Coturnix japonica: one gene and its partner. The protein of the gene in region 1 interacts with the protein of each later gene in a pairwise test. Links are inferred from orthologs where the notes say so. Each region holds a gene or a part of one and is shown on either strand. Other genes may lie near its edges.

Evidence for each region. The genes of interacting proteins can lie anywhere in the genome.
Region 2: the proteins of HOMER3 (region 1) and MOS interact in binary tests that used the Homo sapiens proteins (3 or more experiments, as listed by UniProt). The two-hybrid records come from large-scale screens. The link is inferred for Coturnix japonica from reciprocal best matches to the Homo sapiens genes HOMER3 and MOS.

Annotation. Positions count from the first base shown.
Region 1 is NC_029543.1:2,749,776-2,757,091, reverse strand, and holds part of HOMER3 (homer protein homolog 3), read right to left. Parts: intron 6,449-7,316; exon of another isoform or gene 6,318-6,448; coding exon of another isoform or gene 6,304-6,317; intron 4,742-6,303; coding exon 4,585-4,741; intron 3,685-4,584; coding exon 3,553-3,684; intron 3,133-3,552; coding exon 3,025-3,132; intron 1-3,024. UniProt on the Homo sapiens protein: Postsynaptic density scaffolding protein. Binds and cross-links cytoplasmic regions of GRM1, GRM5, ITPR1, DNM3, RYR1, RYR2, SHANK1 and SHANK3.
Region 2 is NC_029517.1:100,573,318-100,581,254, forward strand, and holds the start of MOS (proto-oncogene serine/threonine-protein kinase mos), read right to left. Parts: upstream 5,177-7,937; 5' UTR 1,468-5,176; coding exon 361-1,467; 3' UTR 1-360.

The DNA.
Region 1 (7,316 bases):
AGCTTGCCCACACCAGCTCTTCCTCCCTCCTGACTTGAGGTACTGAATTCTCTGGCCCTCAGCTTTGCCTTGACAAATGCCAGTGATGTTATAGCCTGTAATTTGAGTCCCATGGCTGTGCCCAACATGACAAGCTGCTCAAGCTGGCTGTTTCAGAGTTTACTGAATTCTTAACACGATTTTCTTGCTGGCTCTCAGAGCAATGCAAAGACTTAATAAACTCTGAACACAGACCTAGCTATGCCACCTGGGTTCAGTTGTAACTCGTTTCAGTACACTGAACTAAGACACCATGTACCACTGGAATTACGAGGCTCAAGGGAGGGAAACTGCTACTGCAGAGATATTCTGTCACTCAGTTTTCAAAGGTGTGGAAGAAGAGACTCATACTCCCAAAGTATACCCCTTTCTCTAATAGCTCCATGTTCCTGTGCAAATTGGAGGCAGAAGAGATAGATTCATCCTCCCATCTCCGGATGTGTTTAAAAACCATTTGAATATGGTGCTCAGGGACATGACTTAGTGGAGGGTTGTTAGAGTTAGGGTAGGATGGTTAAGTAGTGGTTGGACTCGATGATCTCTAAGGTCTTTTCCAACCTGAGCGATTCTATGATTCCATGACAGCAGGGTAGCAATGAAAATGCAAAATCCAAAGTAGTCTTTACATCCTTCAGTCTCTCCGGAAGACCCTGCCTTCATGGTCTCCTTGCATAGCAGGGAAGAAACTTGGCAAAGACATGGCAAACTGAGCTATAAAAAGACTCTGTGAGTAATGAGACTTTGGGATTCTTAGTTGAGGGCTGTGAGACCAGGTGGCTGGTGAGCCCGCTGGAGTTGAAGGTAGCCCTTAAAAGTCTGATAAGGACAGCCACCTGTCTTCAGAGTCATCTGACATCTAAAAATAGAGGCAGACTGGACCACAAGATGTATTGAACACTGGCTTCAAGAAGCCTTCCAAAGGGCAATCGAGAAGCAAGACCTGCAAAATACAACCCTGCCTCATCTTGCCCCATAAGGCTTTTTTATAGGCGGAGAAACTGAGGCAGGCAAGGTGCAAAAGTTTCTGGTCTAGTCTGTCAGCCCCTGTGAATTCAGCTGAAACTGGTAACAGTTGAAGATGCTCCACAATGTTTTGTTGCTCTGTGATGGAGATGCTAAAACAGGATGGGGACTGACCTAACAGGTACTAGAGGATGGGAGAGAGCTGCTGTCCTGGGATTTCCTCTTAAGTCTGAAGCCTAAATTAGCTAGTGCAAATGCAGAAAATCAGAGAGCCCTGATTTAATTTCAGGAGACAGATCTGCTCTCTGCTCACTTGCAAACAGAAGAACAATCAATTATTGAAGGATGAAGCTCATGTTTGAAGCTGTATTAATGCAGAGACTGAAAACCAGTAGTAGGAGATGATGTACGTACAGGCTGGGGGAAGCAAGACAAGGTCTGCATGCCCACATGGCAGCAAACACTGCATGTGTTGTGTGCTGGCTTCCAGATGGCTGCAGGCAGGGGTCATGCATACCTACGTGCAAGTTCTCCTATGGAGAGATAAGGCACGGTGAATGGGAAGGGTGAGCATGGGCTTACACTGAGGCCATTTTAGCACTGCTGAGTCAAGTACGAAGAATGAACTGAGCCTCAGGCCACTTCCAAGATGTGTGCCAAACCACCTCCTGATCACCTCATCCCTTCTGCCATAGCTGTGCATGGGAAATGGACACATCCTATTGTGACAACTGTTGCATTCTGCCTGATGTAAACAGAATAGCAGAGAGTTTCTCCACTTCCACCTTGCCTCCCAGCCAAGGAAGCTCTCATAGATGCAGCTGAACATGAATCTGTCTTGGCTCTGCTATGAATGCTCTATACAGCTCTCTTATTCATTTGCCACATATTAAGATGGGACTAAGCCAAAACCTAGGTGAGTTTTTCCCATTTTTCCATTGCACGTGACATTTCCAGTCTCTTCAGAGCCACTGCCTCTACCTCCCCCTCTTTTCCATACAGGCCAAGGTACTGTTCACACTCCCTCCTCCTCCTGCTGCCATTCCATCTGTATTCAACCCAGAGAACGCAGCATCCTCCATCCTACAGCTCCTTTCCTTCTGCCAAGAGCTCAGTGAAGTACATAACCACCTCTGGAGAGCACTATTTGGGAAGGCAACTTCACCATCAATGCCAAACTGCTGCAACATGAGAAAAAAGATGCGTAGACATCTCCACAGCTTATTTTCTCCTCTCCACCCTCCTGCTGCTGGAATTGATTTAGTTATACAGGGAGACAGGCAGCAATTGCAAGTGTGACAAATGTGAGAATGATAAGTGATGGGCTTAAGCTTTCTGGTCTGGGGAGAAACTAAATTGAATGACTGGTTGTCATGCCTGCATCTCGACCTCAGTGAAGATTTCTCCAAGGTGGAACACAGTGCACGGATAGCACAGCTCCTTCTACAGTGGAAAGAAGACAGAAATGGAAGAAGTCTAGCAGGGACTCCCCAGACACCAATGATAAGAAATCACTTTGTCTTTCTGAGACTGGCACCCAGAGACACTTGGGAGAGGAACTCCCCTGCAGCCCCAGCAAGGGAACAAAAATAGCTCGAAATGCCACGTATCTTTCCTCCTAACTTCTTCAGCCAGGCTATGTGCATTCCTGCATGTTCCTTGCCTATTACTGCCAATAACTCTAAAGAAAATAAAGCCAAAACCCACCACCACCACCACCACTAACAGAAAACCTAAGACCTCTTCCAGCATGATTTTCTCAAGACAAATGTTTAACTGACAAAGAGGGAGGAGAGTAAACCTTCCTAAGAGCTCCACTTAAGCAGTAATTATTTTATCCACTTCATGTGCTTCAGTAGAGTGACTACAGGGCCACAGATGTCATCAGAAAGAACCCCCAACCCCAGTGTCTGTCAAAAAAGCATTTGGGCCAAAAAGACAGAAGCAAAAGTTGCTAGAGGAGATCAGCACAGTGACCATTTCCCCTAGCAACCACTGCTCATGCCCGTTCCCAAGCATTACCTGGTGAGATGTGATATTCAGGGCAGGATTGGTCAGCTCTGTTTTATCCTGGGATTTCTCCCTTGCCAAACGTGCTGCCTCTTTCACTTCCTGGAACTTCTCTGCAAACTATAAGGGAGCAGAAAAGTCACTGTACTGCTAAATCAAAACGTAGAACAAATTAGAATTAATGTCTGGGTTACTCCTCCCCTCTGTTATTTCATTTTATGTGGTTTCTGTTTCATCTTCAATTAATATTTGGATTGAGGGAATAACCCCTACCTGCCCATGATTCCAGCACTCAGAAGTGTGAGAGTAGCTAGAAATAATCAGGGAGCCCTAAATCCAAATTCATTTTGTAACATTCAAATACTCTATAAAGATTACTTTCAACCTCTTCCTTGTACCTTTGTATCCTGAATCAGGTTCCAGCAGGACCCTAATGTTTTTGTTTTTATTTTTTTCCACCTGAAGCTGAACTCTCCCTTTTGGGTTTCAAGGATATTTGTCTTACAGGGATCAGGTCTCTACCAGCATCTGCCATATTACCTGGGAGAGGTGTTGCTCTGAAGCAAAGCCCAATCCATATACTGTGTTAGCTCGGCTATCCGCCCACTGTCCGAATTTCTGGGATGTCTTTGTGAAGGTCATGTTGGGAGTGATAGTGCTGTTGATGATTGCCTGTGGAGAGAGGCAAGAATGAATTAGAGAAAACTCCATTCTGCTGCCCAAGGGCGTTGTGTGGGATCACCCCAATTAGTAGGTTATCAATTCTACTAGGGTAGAAGCTCTGCTTTTAATGTATAAAACAGCTATTTGGGGTTCTGGTGATCAAAAGTCTTTCTAGTCTAGCTAAGAAATACACACAAGTGTGAATCTTCTTGTCTACTGTAGGAAAAAATAAATAAATAAGAAAGCCTGAACATTACAAGCTTCATTGGGCCTCCATTGCTGGAAGAAAAGAGAAGATGCGGAAAGTCTTTGGGGACTGAACAACTTTCTGATGTTCTCCACTTTCATGGCAAGCAGGAATTAAAAAAACATTAAGTAAAAGGCTTAAACTGCACTTAGCACAAGCTATTACAAAACACTGTTGGTTGGGGCAGTAGCACAATAAACCGCTTGAGAAGACTGTGGAATCTTTGCTGCTGGAGGTCTTGAGAAACAAGTCAGAAAAATATCAAGAACAGCTGAGGGAGAATCAGCCTTGTCTTGGGGTTAGTGGCTGAACAGACTGCCTCACCTCTGTTTGTTCATTCTGTCTACATGGGTCAGTTTTAGCACAGGATCAGGGCTCTTAGAAAGATCTCTTTTGCATGCTCAAAGAGGAAAGAGTCAAGGAGAGAGAGAAAAGAAAGCACACTAAGCACATTTCTCATTAGCAGAGGGTCTAGTGTCCAATACTGATCACATTCAAGTGTGGAGGCAGTGTTTTATCTTCCATTCCTTGCAGTAAAGACGACAGAGTGCCCCATGCTGCAAACTAATCAGTGTGACAGAGAAAGCATCAATTGCAGAACAGACACTGGTTGGAGACAAACTTGCTTTCAAACTGTGATGCTGTCAGCAAATGCTCCCTACCTTGGTGCCTCCCACACTGATGATCCGGTACACATTGCGTGTGGCATCGTAAAAATAAGAGACAGTCAAAGCATGTTTGCTGGCAGGGATCCAGTTTCTTTTGGTAGCAGGGTCTATTTGGAAAACATGGGCTCTGGTGCTGAAGATTGGCTGCTCCCTGCAACAGAGATGAACAGAGCTGTAAGAGCAGAGGGGAAGCTGAGCAATGGGGGAAGTGGACTGACGTTCTGGTACTTGCATTGCATAATGCATCACCAGTGGCACTTCTGCTATTTGCCTCCAATCTAGAGATATGTGACAGTAGGAGCTAAGCACAGCAGCTCATACAGACACAGTAACAAAGCCACCAAGGGTGTTTAACTATAGGCAGTGGTTTTTACCTTCCTCTGGATCTTCCCTTGTCCTCCTCAGTTGTCTTCACACATTCCCAAAGACCACAGTCACACCAGCAACAGTACCCCGAGATTAGCAAGCCTTACATGCACATTCACCCAGGGATCAGCATTCAACTTGCGGGTAGAAACACAAACAGGACATCGCAATCTTGTGTTCTGCTTACCAGATGGTCCTACACAACACAGCTGGTGTGGCAAAATTAAGCTAATAATTAGTGTTTACATTATGTTTAGCCTGCTTTGAAGTTTTCCTTCACTATCCCTTAGCACATAAGCATACAGTTCATGGTGACTTCACCAGCTCTGTGATTCTCTGGCTGCTATGCTGCTTGCACTACACAAGATATCTCCGAGCTGGAGCTCTGGGAAGACAGATGGATGAATAGACGGAGGATGGGTTTGGGCTGTGAACACAAGAAGTGCCTTCCCCTCAGCACAGCTCTTCCTCCCTTGACTCACGCTTGGGAAGCACATCCTGCAGTGAGAGGTCACGCTGCAGGATTAAAAGCAAGTCACTTAAGAATGAATTAAAGGAAGCACTTCACCACACAATGCGCAGCTGCTGCATGAAAGCAAGTACTGCCTGGATTTTGTAACCAGTAATATCTGAGCTGAACTAAGGAACTGAATCTCAGGCATCAGGATGTAATCTGAGCATTTCAAGAGGCAGGAAGAAATGTTTCCATGACATAACAGACCAGGTGCATCAGGGCTTGCATTTGACTCTGTCTCCATTTTATTTTGTTTTAAACCCAAGGCACTGGCCATTTCCACACTTAAATTCAGTGAAGCCTGGGGTGCTTGGATATATCCCATAACTTCTTGGCTGGGTAGAACAGCTGCAAACAAAGCATAGTCACAATCCCGTGACATGCAAGTCCCCGAAACCCAGAAATTTATTTCCAGCCTATTTTAAGTTCTCACAGCTGCAACAAACTGAACAAGATGACTGACTGTACCTGGTGCTTTCTGAAAGCATCAACAAAACATAGGAAGGAAATAAAATCCTCCCTTTGACCTCCCTTTTTCCAGCTTTGTCCATTGGTTACAGTCCTGTCTCAGATCTCTCATTCAGAAGAAGCCTGCACAAGGGGCTGAACCAGACACTCCTGAGCATTCTCTCTGTCTGGTTTAATTCCAACACAATTTGTTTTTCAAACGAGACTCAGATTCTCTGGGCTCCACTAACAGACACTATATTTTGTGCAGATCGTGACTTATCCTTCAAGACATGGAATTTAAAGAAGTAGGGAAAATGAATGTTTCTGCACCTTCACCCCCAAGTCCTGGGCTAGTGTCAGAAAGAACAAAGGAAGGACATTACCTAGTTGTTGACATTTGTTAGTAAGTGTAAGACAGGCTACAGGCCAATGGAGTTAGTATACGTTTCTCCTCCAGCAGCTTCCTTCTCAGGTCTCCTAGCTGGATTGAGACTCCTTTTTGGTTTTGCCTCCACAGTGATTCATTTCCTAGCGATGGAAAAAGTCAGCTGTTATTTATCACACAGAACACAGTGTGTTCAACCAGGCAGCACTTTGGGGGGTTCGTTTGTCCCAAACTCACAGAGCTTGTAATTTGTAATGATCTCTCATCACTGAGCAAGTTTTCTTTCCCTGCCATGGGAGATAATTGGGTGAGCTGTTTAACTGGAGCAAATCCCTCTGGCAGCAGGAGCCAGCTGTTGGGAGTGGGCCACAGAGGAGCCTGGAAGGCTCTGATGTTTCCAACCATACACATGTGATGCTGGCTGCAGTGACACCATGATGAAAAGCCCTTTCCTCAGAGATCACCCCTCACATGCACAGCGGTTATTCCTGTGCTCATTGCTCACCAGCAATGCCTGCTCCTGGAACCAATGGAAACCATCCCGCTGACTGCAGCAGGTTTCAGACCAAGTGATGTATGTAACAGCCCCTGCCACGTGCTCTGTCAGAGCTCCCAGACCCTTCTCTGATTGCAGGGACAGTGCTGTAGTAGCACCTGGGGATTACTTTCCTTCTTAACACCAGGAACGGAAAATAAAATGCCACTGGAATGTCTATCAGAATAACCCATCTTCACAGTGGTTTGCTTACATTTTTTCCACTTGCATGAGGCTGACTTGGCTGCTTGCTTACCCAGAACACAGAACTCAGGCATGCATGCCCACTCCCTGCTCTCAGGTACAAGGAGATACGCACCAGGTACAAGGAGATATGCACCACCGTTGGTGTCAGTGGGGAAGGGATCTCTGCTTTCATGCCTTTATGAGATCACTGCTGTCTCAACACTTCCCATATGTTTCTTCCTGCCTTATGGTCTTCCCTGGAGCAACAAAACTTCACGCTGTCTCTGACA
Region 2 (7,937 bases), on another chromosome or scaffold:
AAATACCAGACAATATTATATACAAAACGCTATCCAGAAGCAGCACTCTTTTGTACTTGAAAACAATTTTTCTTTGTCCCCAGCTTTTCCTCTAAGTGATGGAGCTCACCAGAGATAACTAAAAAAGAGCCACTAAAAAAAAGTAAGCTATATATATTCTCACTAACACCTGGATCCTTGCCTCTCTATCCCCTCTGTAATTTAAAAACCAAATTCGTTCAATTTCTTTATTTATTTTCTTATAACAAAACATCCTTTTTTTTTTTTTTTTTTTAAATATAAAATATATCAAAGAAGCCACAGTCATTATTTTTGAAGAAAAAGTGGAGGGGAAAAAGATGAGAGTAACCTTGAGCTCTTTTAGAGGTTCCCCTTCAGGGCCCTGAGGCTGGGGAGCAGCTGGGCCGCGCTGAGGCGCTCCTCTACGTCAGCCTTCCAGCAGCAGCTGATGATGCTCTGAAGCCTTTGGCCCATTGGTGACTCGTGGAAGATGGCGGCCGACAAAGAAGGGCGCAAGTTGTAGGCTACCACAGCATAGAGCACGTACTGCCGCTCGCCCAGGTAGGGCTGCTCCCGCATGATGATCTGCCAGAGTGTGATGGCAAAGGAGTAGATGTCTGCTTTGGCAGTGACCCTCTCACCCTTGAGGAGCTCAGGCGCACGGTGGGTGTATGTGCCCCCTTGCTGGCAAACATGGTGGCTCTGGGACAAGCCTTCCTCCAGTCTCTGGGAGCAGCCAAAGTCTCCGATCTTGCATACTCCATGCTCAGTGATGAGGATATTGGCAGGCTTCAGGTCGAGGTGCACGATGCCCTGCGAGTGAAGGAAGGCTAAGCCAGTCACAATGTCACACGAGTAGCACACAGCCTCCTCCATGCTCAGAGCCTTCCTCCCACATCCTCCTTCTTCCTCCTCGCCCTGCCTCCACGCATCTTGAGTGCCATAGATGACATGGTGCAGGGTGATGTTGCCAACATATTCCATGATGATGGTGCCCAGGCTGTTCTGGCTGGCAGGGGCACACGTGCTGGCAGCCACCACACGCACCACATTATCATGCTGCAGTCGGGCTACGTTCAGCTCAGCCCAGAAGCTCTGTCGGGATGCCAGACGGTTTTTGCTGCTCTTCTTCACCTGCTTCACAGCCACAGTCACACCATGGTAGGTGGCCTTGTAGACAGCCCCAAAGCCTCCAGATCCCAAGGGCTGCAGAAGGCAGAGTCGGTCCCAGTCAATGGAGCACCAAGCCAAACGTGGGGGCAGGCGGCGTGTCCTGGGTGAGGGGGTCCCTCCTAGGAAGGCTTTTCCATCTTTGCCAGGGATAACTACAGGGCTGCTGCAAGGTCTCAAGTCTGCAGATGGGGAGAGCTCTAAAGGAAGAAAGCTATTAAAAGGAATAGGTGATGGCATAATAAGATGCCAGAAACAGTTAGGAGGACAAGAGACTGGAAGGCTTCCTTGTGGCATTTTCCAAAGGCTCTTTTATTCTCTCTGCACAATTTTCCCCTCCTACCCCCTAATGATCTGCATCTGTCTCAATGAGCTAACCCCATAATCAGGTTCATCTGAGAACATTCTTCTTCCACCCTTATGTAAATCTCCAGAAGGTAAAGGTCTATGGATTTAAAACTAAAACAGATTAGTGTGTGTGTATTTTGCATGATTTTTAATCACAGGAGATAAGAAAGATACTTTGCTCAATGAATATCTCTAGCAAAATGCCCTGGTAGTAAATAAAGTGAGTGCATTTTGCTGGGGTTGTAGGAAAATGATAATTGTCAGATGCATTAGAGAACCTGGGGTCATTCTCAGAGGACACAGCTGAGTAGTAACCACTAACATTTGATAGGCCTATGGCAGGCATAACTAAATGTAAAAGTGAGTTTAAAGGGACCTGCAACTTGTGTTTGACAGGAGGAGGTGTCAACAGAAGAATGAGAATGGGAAACCTGGATTATCACCCAGTGATGTGAAACAGATTGGCTAGGGGAGATTTAGATAAATAGGTGTTAATGTGTGGTAGGAGTTGCTATCAAGGTAGAGGTTGGAGAGAGGTCTCATAGGGGCAGGGTCCTGCTCTGACATCAGCTATGCTGGGACATCTGGGGGCAGTGGAGGACACCAACAAGGAACCTCTCTGCAGTTTTAAATATGCTGCAAAGCAACCAGTACAGACAACAGGTTGCAGCAGTGCTGGGGTTGTATACCTGTGTGGTGGCTCCACTTAAAATCTTCAGAAGAAGTGCATTCTCAGTAGGTGAGCTGTGATGATAACAGAAAGCTGCAATAAGTAAATCCATCTATACTGGAGATGGAAATGACAGCTGCTTCCCTTGAGAAACAACCACTGCAGGACGTCCTTGCCACACCTCCCAGCTACATTCAGCTCCACTGTCCCTGCTCAGAAGCAGGGTGCTGGGCTGGCAGCCCCACTCATCCCAGTGCCTTCCCCAGGAGAGCCCACACTGGGCACCCAGGAAGGCCTTCAGCTCTGCTGTTCCCATGTCGCTGCTATTCCCACAGCAATATAAGGAAAAAGGAAGCTGTGTGAACCAGTGCTTACCGGCAGGGAACTTCAGCATGTCTTGAGCTCTGGCTGCTGCAAGTGTCATTAAGAGCAAGCACGTAATAAGAACTTTTAGAAGTAAAAACAGCAAAGCATGCAGCCTGTGTCCTGAGGGCTGCAGCATGTGGCAGTGCCAATAACTTGTGGCAGGATCCTGATGTTCCAGGCTTCTATGAAACACTTTTACAGTAAAATGTACGTCTGATGCTGCAGTAGCTTCCCAGCCTCAGCTGTGCTTCAAGCTGAGGAGCACAGCATCACCCATGGGCATCTCATCTGTACTCCAGGAACTCCATCTGCCAGTGCTGTTAGCTACTACCACTGTTCATAGACTTGCAAAACAGAGCCTGTCCTGCAAACATCTTCAGGGATGGGGCACCCACCACCTCTCTGGGCAACATATTCCAGTGCCTCACCACCCTTATCGTAACAAACTTTTCACTTATATCCAGTCTAAATCTCTTTTCATTCTGCCTGAAATCATTTCCCTCTGTGCTATCACAACAGTTCCTGCTAAAGTGTCTGTCCCCTTTGTTCTTAAAGCATATGGTTAAATTCTTCTCCACAACCATTAGTTTATTTATTTGTGCATCTGCTCAGTGAAAAACACACCCCTTTTAGGCCTGTGTGTTCAGTGTCTTCTAAGAAGTGCTTTCCAGTATTAAGGTAGCACTGTTTCTATTAAATTCCTGCATTTATCTCCTAAGTACTTATTCTGCTCTGAAAACAACATGGCTCCTTAGCCTGTACCTTTGTGACTTCTGAGTTTTCTTTACCCTTTCTAAATCAAAGCTTTTTTTCCGCTTGCTGTCAGTCTCTGTGATCTCACTTTGGGGTTTGATGACAAACTGACGTTCCTTCTCACTTCTATCCTCATTTCACAGTGCAAGTGTTGCTTCCAGTCACACTTCATAGACCTCTTAACGGTATTCTGAGTTGCATGAAAGCAGTTCTGATAAAATCAATTGTGCAGGCGTAAGCGACATCATCATTTGAAGCCAGTCCATACACACAGCCTGCTCTGAGGATGGGCCACAGACGACTGTTTATTTTAACTGCAAGGACGAGCCAGAAGTGAATAGTTTGTATTTTGGAGTTATGGTTGCTTTGCAAATGACACCTTGTAGTAGCAAATGTAGACAAGTTTTCATTAAAGCGCTGAGAGGTAAACCTTAATGCCAAGAACAAGCGCATCCACGGGAGTTGCAATGCGATCTTACAGCCCTTCTTTAGAAAAGAGCCATAATAATAAACATTTTAAAAGGTTAAATCCTGGTTTATAAATAATAAGATCAAGTTTCAAACACACACTGCCAAACAGTCGCTCCATATTTTTTTATTTTCATCCCCAAAAGGTTACTGTGTTTCAGAGCAGCAAGCAGAGGCTCTCCCTGCTGCAATGCTCTGAGGTGTTACCTGGAGGCAGCTGGAGGAAAGCAGGGGGGGGTCTCATGGCCCATTCACTATGAACACAATTGGACCAGTGATTACAACTTGGAACCTGGTGCTGTGGGTTAATATCACAGTTGCAGAAGAGCACCCTTGAGACGAAATGGTCTAAATTTAGGTGTGAGGATGATAAAGGTGAAACTCTGGACCGCAGAACACTTTCAGGTGACACAGAGATGGGTGCCTCTCCCTGTGGGATTACTGCTGTATAAGGCAGGCACATCATGCAGTGCTTCCAGCCACATTGGCCAAGAGTGTTTTTGCAGTCCTGCCCCTGTAGCGCAGCTAACAAACAGCTTTGCTGGGTTGTGGGGTGATAACAAAGAGCATTGGTGGAATTTGAGAGTTGTAGGTCAGGGAATAGAAAACGGCTTCTGTGCTTAATGAGCAACGTGAATCAGCCACAGCAAAGGGCCAACGGGACAGCATTAGTGCTACGCAACCACTAGGTGATAGATGATTTCCCAGGCACAGCAGATGTAATGCTGATGCTTGGGACTGAACCCTTGCTGTTGCAGGTGATGTGTGGAAGGATCAGTGATCCCAGCATCCCACAAAACCCCTGACCACTGATAACACCCAGCTCCATGATCGTAATGATCGCTAGGCTGCAGCAGGACAGAATTCAGTGAGTTTGGCAAGTTAGTCTATGCTTACTTGTCCTCAGTGTTAGATAACTCCTGCTCCTACGTTACAGTTTAAAGGTTGCTCCTTTATCTTATGTCCCCTTAGTTGTACAGCATCTATACTTTATTTTCACTTTCAGTGTAAGTACTTGCGAGAGAAACTTAAGGATGTACCCATGACCACATGTGCAATCATTTAATAAAAAGGCAATAAGCCAGAGGTGAGCTTAAATTCAAAGGCTCTGCCAACAAGGACTCTTCTACTGAATATCTATCTAATGCTACACAGGGGTAGCTGAAAAACACCTTCCCCACAGGAGGCTGTGCACCCTGTAGATAAGCTGCTGCCTCTCGTAGATAAATCGAGGAATTGGAAGAAACTCTTCCAATGTGTCTGGGAAACCAAGCACTGTGTTAAGTGGGAGATACCTTTACCAATAGCGTGATTCACTTTGGACTTGAAAAATGCTGAAGTTCCATGCTTACATTTTTTGAAGTGAAACAAAATGTATTTCTCAACTTTGGAAAGTTTCCCCATGCATGCACACATGTACACACACACACACACACACCACACACACACTCTTTTGTATATATATATAGTATATATATTTGTATATATATATAGTATATATAATTATATATATATATAGTTAGTGTGCCCCGGTGGCGCAGTGGTTGGAATGCCGCGTTGCGACACCGGAGCCCAGGTTCGAATCCCCTGTGGCGCAAGTGGTAGAAGTGCCGCTCTGCTACACAGAGGCTCGAATCCCGGGGGTTGGACTCGATGATCTCTAAGGTCCCTTCCAACCCGCACGAGACTGTGATACTATGATACGATGATATATATACACAAAAGTTTAGGCAATATACTGATTTCAGATTAATCAGAAATTGTGATTAACAGGAGCTCAGGGGCACAGGTTTAGATTTCTCTGTCAAAAAAAAACCCCAAACATTCTGTATGTTAGGGTACACTTATTAAATGGAAGGAAAGAAGGGAAAGCAAAGGGAGAAAGTATAACAGATCTTTTTCTTCCATTCCTTTCTTCTACACCTTTCAAGCAAATCTGGACAAGAAGCAGTTGAAGACAGGTACCGCCTCTTCCTCCATCTGTAGAGCTGTTGACTCTTACCATGGCCAACTCTCTCAAGTCAGTTAGAAACCTGTGACACAGAAGTGACAAGTCAGTTCAGAGGCGACAGCTGGGAGTCGCAAGAAAGCAAAAGTGTCTGTATGACACAGTTAGTGACTCTGGAAAGATCCTCTCTTTCAGACTGGTGAACAGGAGAAAATCTAAAAATTAAAGAATTGGAAGAGCAGGGCATTAGTAATATACATTTTGAAGAGCAAGGAAATGCAAATTTGAAGCAGCTTAACAGCAAACGCTAATTCTTTTCCTTTCCTGGCAAACAATTCATGCTAGGAAAATGGCTACATGGAAAAAGAGCACTTTCTTCTGCAGCTTTCTGCAACTGTGGGTAGGCTGCTGGTTTCATGGTACTTCTTCACTCAGTGCATTAGTCAGACTTGTTAGCGAGGCTTCCACAGCAGTGTCACAGGCAGACAGGAGGTGTGTGGTATCAAAACAGTGAAGTTTCTCCTGGAAGCGTGTCAAGAGAGGCAACCCACACACTGTGCCTGGAACACATGCCACAGTCTCACAGTTTATCCTACGATCTATGACAACAAAAATAAATCACTTGCATTCATCTGAAGTGATGGAGAGAATCGCTCACCCATTTCTCCCACGAGACCCCCAAACTCACCTTCCAGCTTCTCAAAAGGGCAGCTTGATGGCAAATGCGACTGCTTGCTTCTATTAGAATCTGTCTTGTCACAGACACAGTAGCATCATCCAGTCTGTTCCTTGGTAAAATCATGAAAGGCAGAAACTTCTGCTCATTAGATTTGCTGCAAAACTGACATTTTACCAGTCATCAGTCAGGAACACAGTTACACCTTTGCAAAATCAGAATAACTACACCCAGGAAAACTGGATGTATGTAAAATCACTCCTTGCAATCCCAAGCATGCAGACCGAGATTATCTATTGAAATGCCAGGCATAAGTTATTCATTAACTAAAACCATTCTGTAATTTTATTGATATATTTTGTGGAGTTCACATATTTTTGTACAGCAAACATAACACTGTAGGCCACAAGAAGCTGCAGCACTATTGTTTAATAGCAGCAAGGTATATTTTATAATCAGGGTATGTGGACAATAAATAGTCTGTTTCTTTGGATGTGAATGTTTAAAATGAAGTTCTGCTGCAGCTTCATAATGTGATTGCTATTTTACAGAGCTTATACACAAAAATATATACGCAATCTTTTTGTCTATATTTTATACAAATACAACAGTAGTTTGTGAATACATTTTAAAGTACATATACATGATAAGCAACTCAATTTCCCATATCACAGGATAGCAAATTTTAAATGCAAGAAACATACACAAATTCTGTCTGGAATGCAGGGTTTTCTGTGTTCTTTTTTTTTTTTTTTTTTTTTTTTTCCCTCTGTTTTTGACTCAAAAATTTGATCATTCAAACATTTTAGCATTCGAGTCCAAACGATTTTCCCACTATCTATAAAATAGAATTTCAGCAATCCAAGCCAGGTTTGGGTGTGTCATCATTCCCCAATATACTCTTTCCCAGTTTTTGTCTAAATTCAGAAGCTTTTAGTAATATATAGTATGTTCTTCACTCCACACCATATAAAAAGCCCACGTTTAATTGTAACTAAATCATCTATTTTTTTTATCTTTTTTTTATGTGAATAAGAGCTGGGCTTGTCAGCGTTTAAATTTGCATGTCCAACATTTTAATTCTGCAAGTGCATATGAATACATTGTGGTGTTGTACAAAGTTCATTAATGACAAATTAAGTCACAGTATAAAAATATATCATACAACTATAGGTCTAGTATAGTCCTTTTTTTCTATGGGTAAAAATACATCTGAATGAGACAGGGAGGTTTGTAGCACCATGAGAGGAGTTGTATCCCAAGTTACATTAGCAGCATGATCCAATATAACAATATTGCAGGAGTGTTTCTGAGGAGATAAACATTCACTCTGGTTCAACTGTACCACTGAAGCTTATACTGAAAAGTGTTTACATATGATTAGCAATAGTTCTGTGTCACTTCCAGGGCTAGATAACTGTTATCAAAAGACACTGCCTTCCAACAAAGTAAGACACCCTTATTACATAAAGCTTTGGGACAATCCAAACACATTTTTGAACCACTGTGGCATTGTTTGTATGCTGAGTGTAATGCTA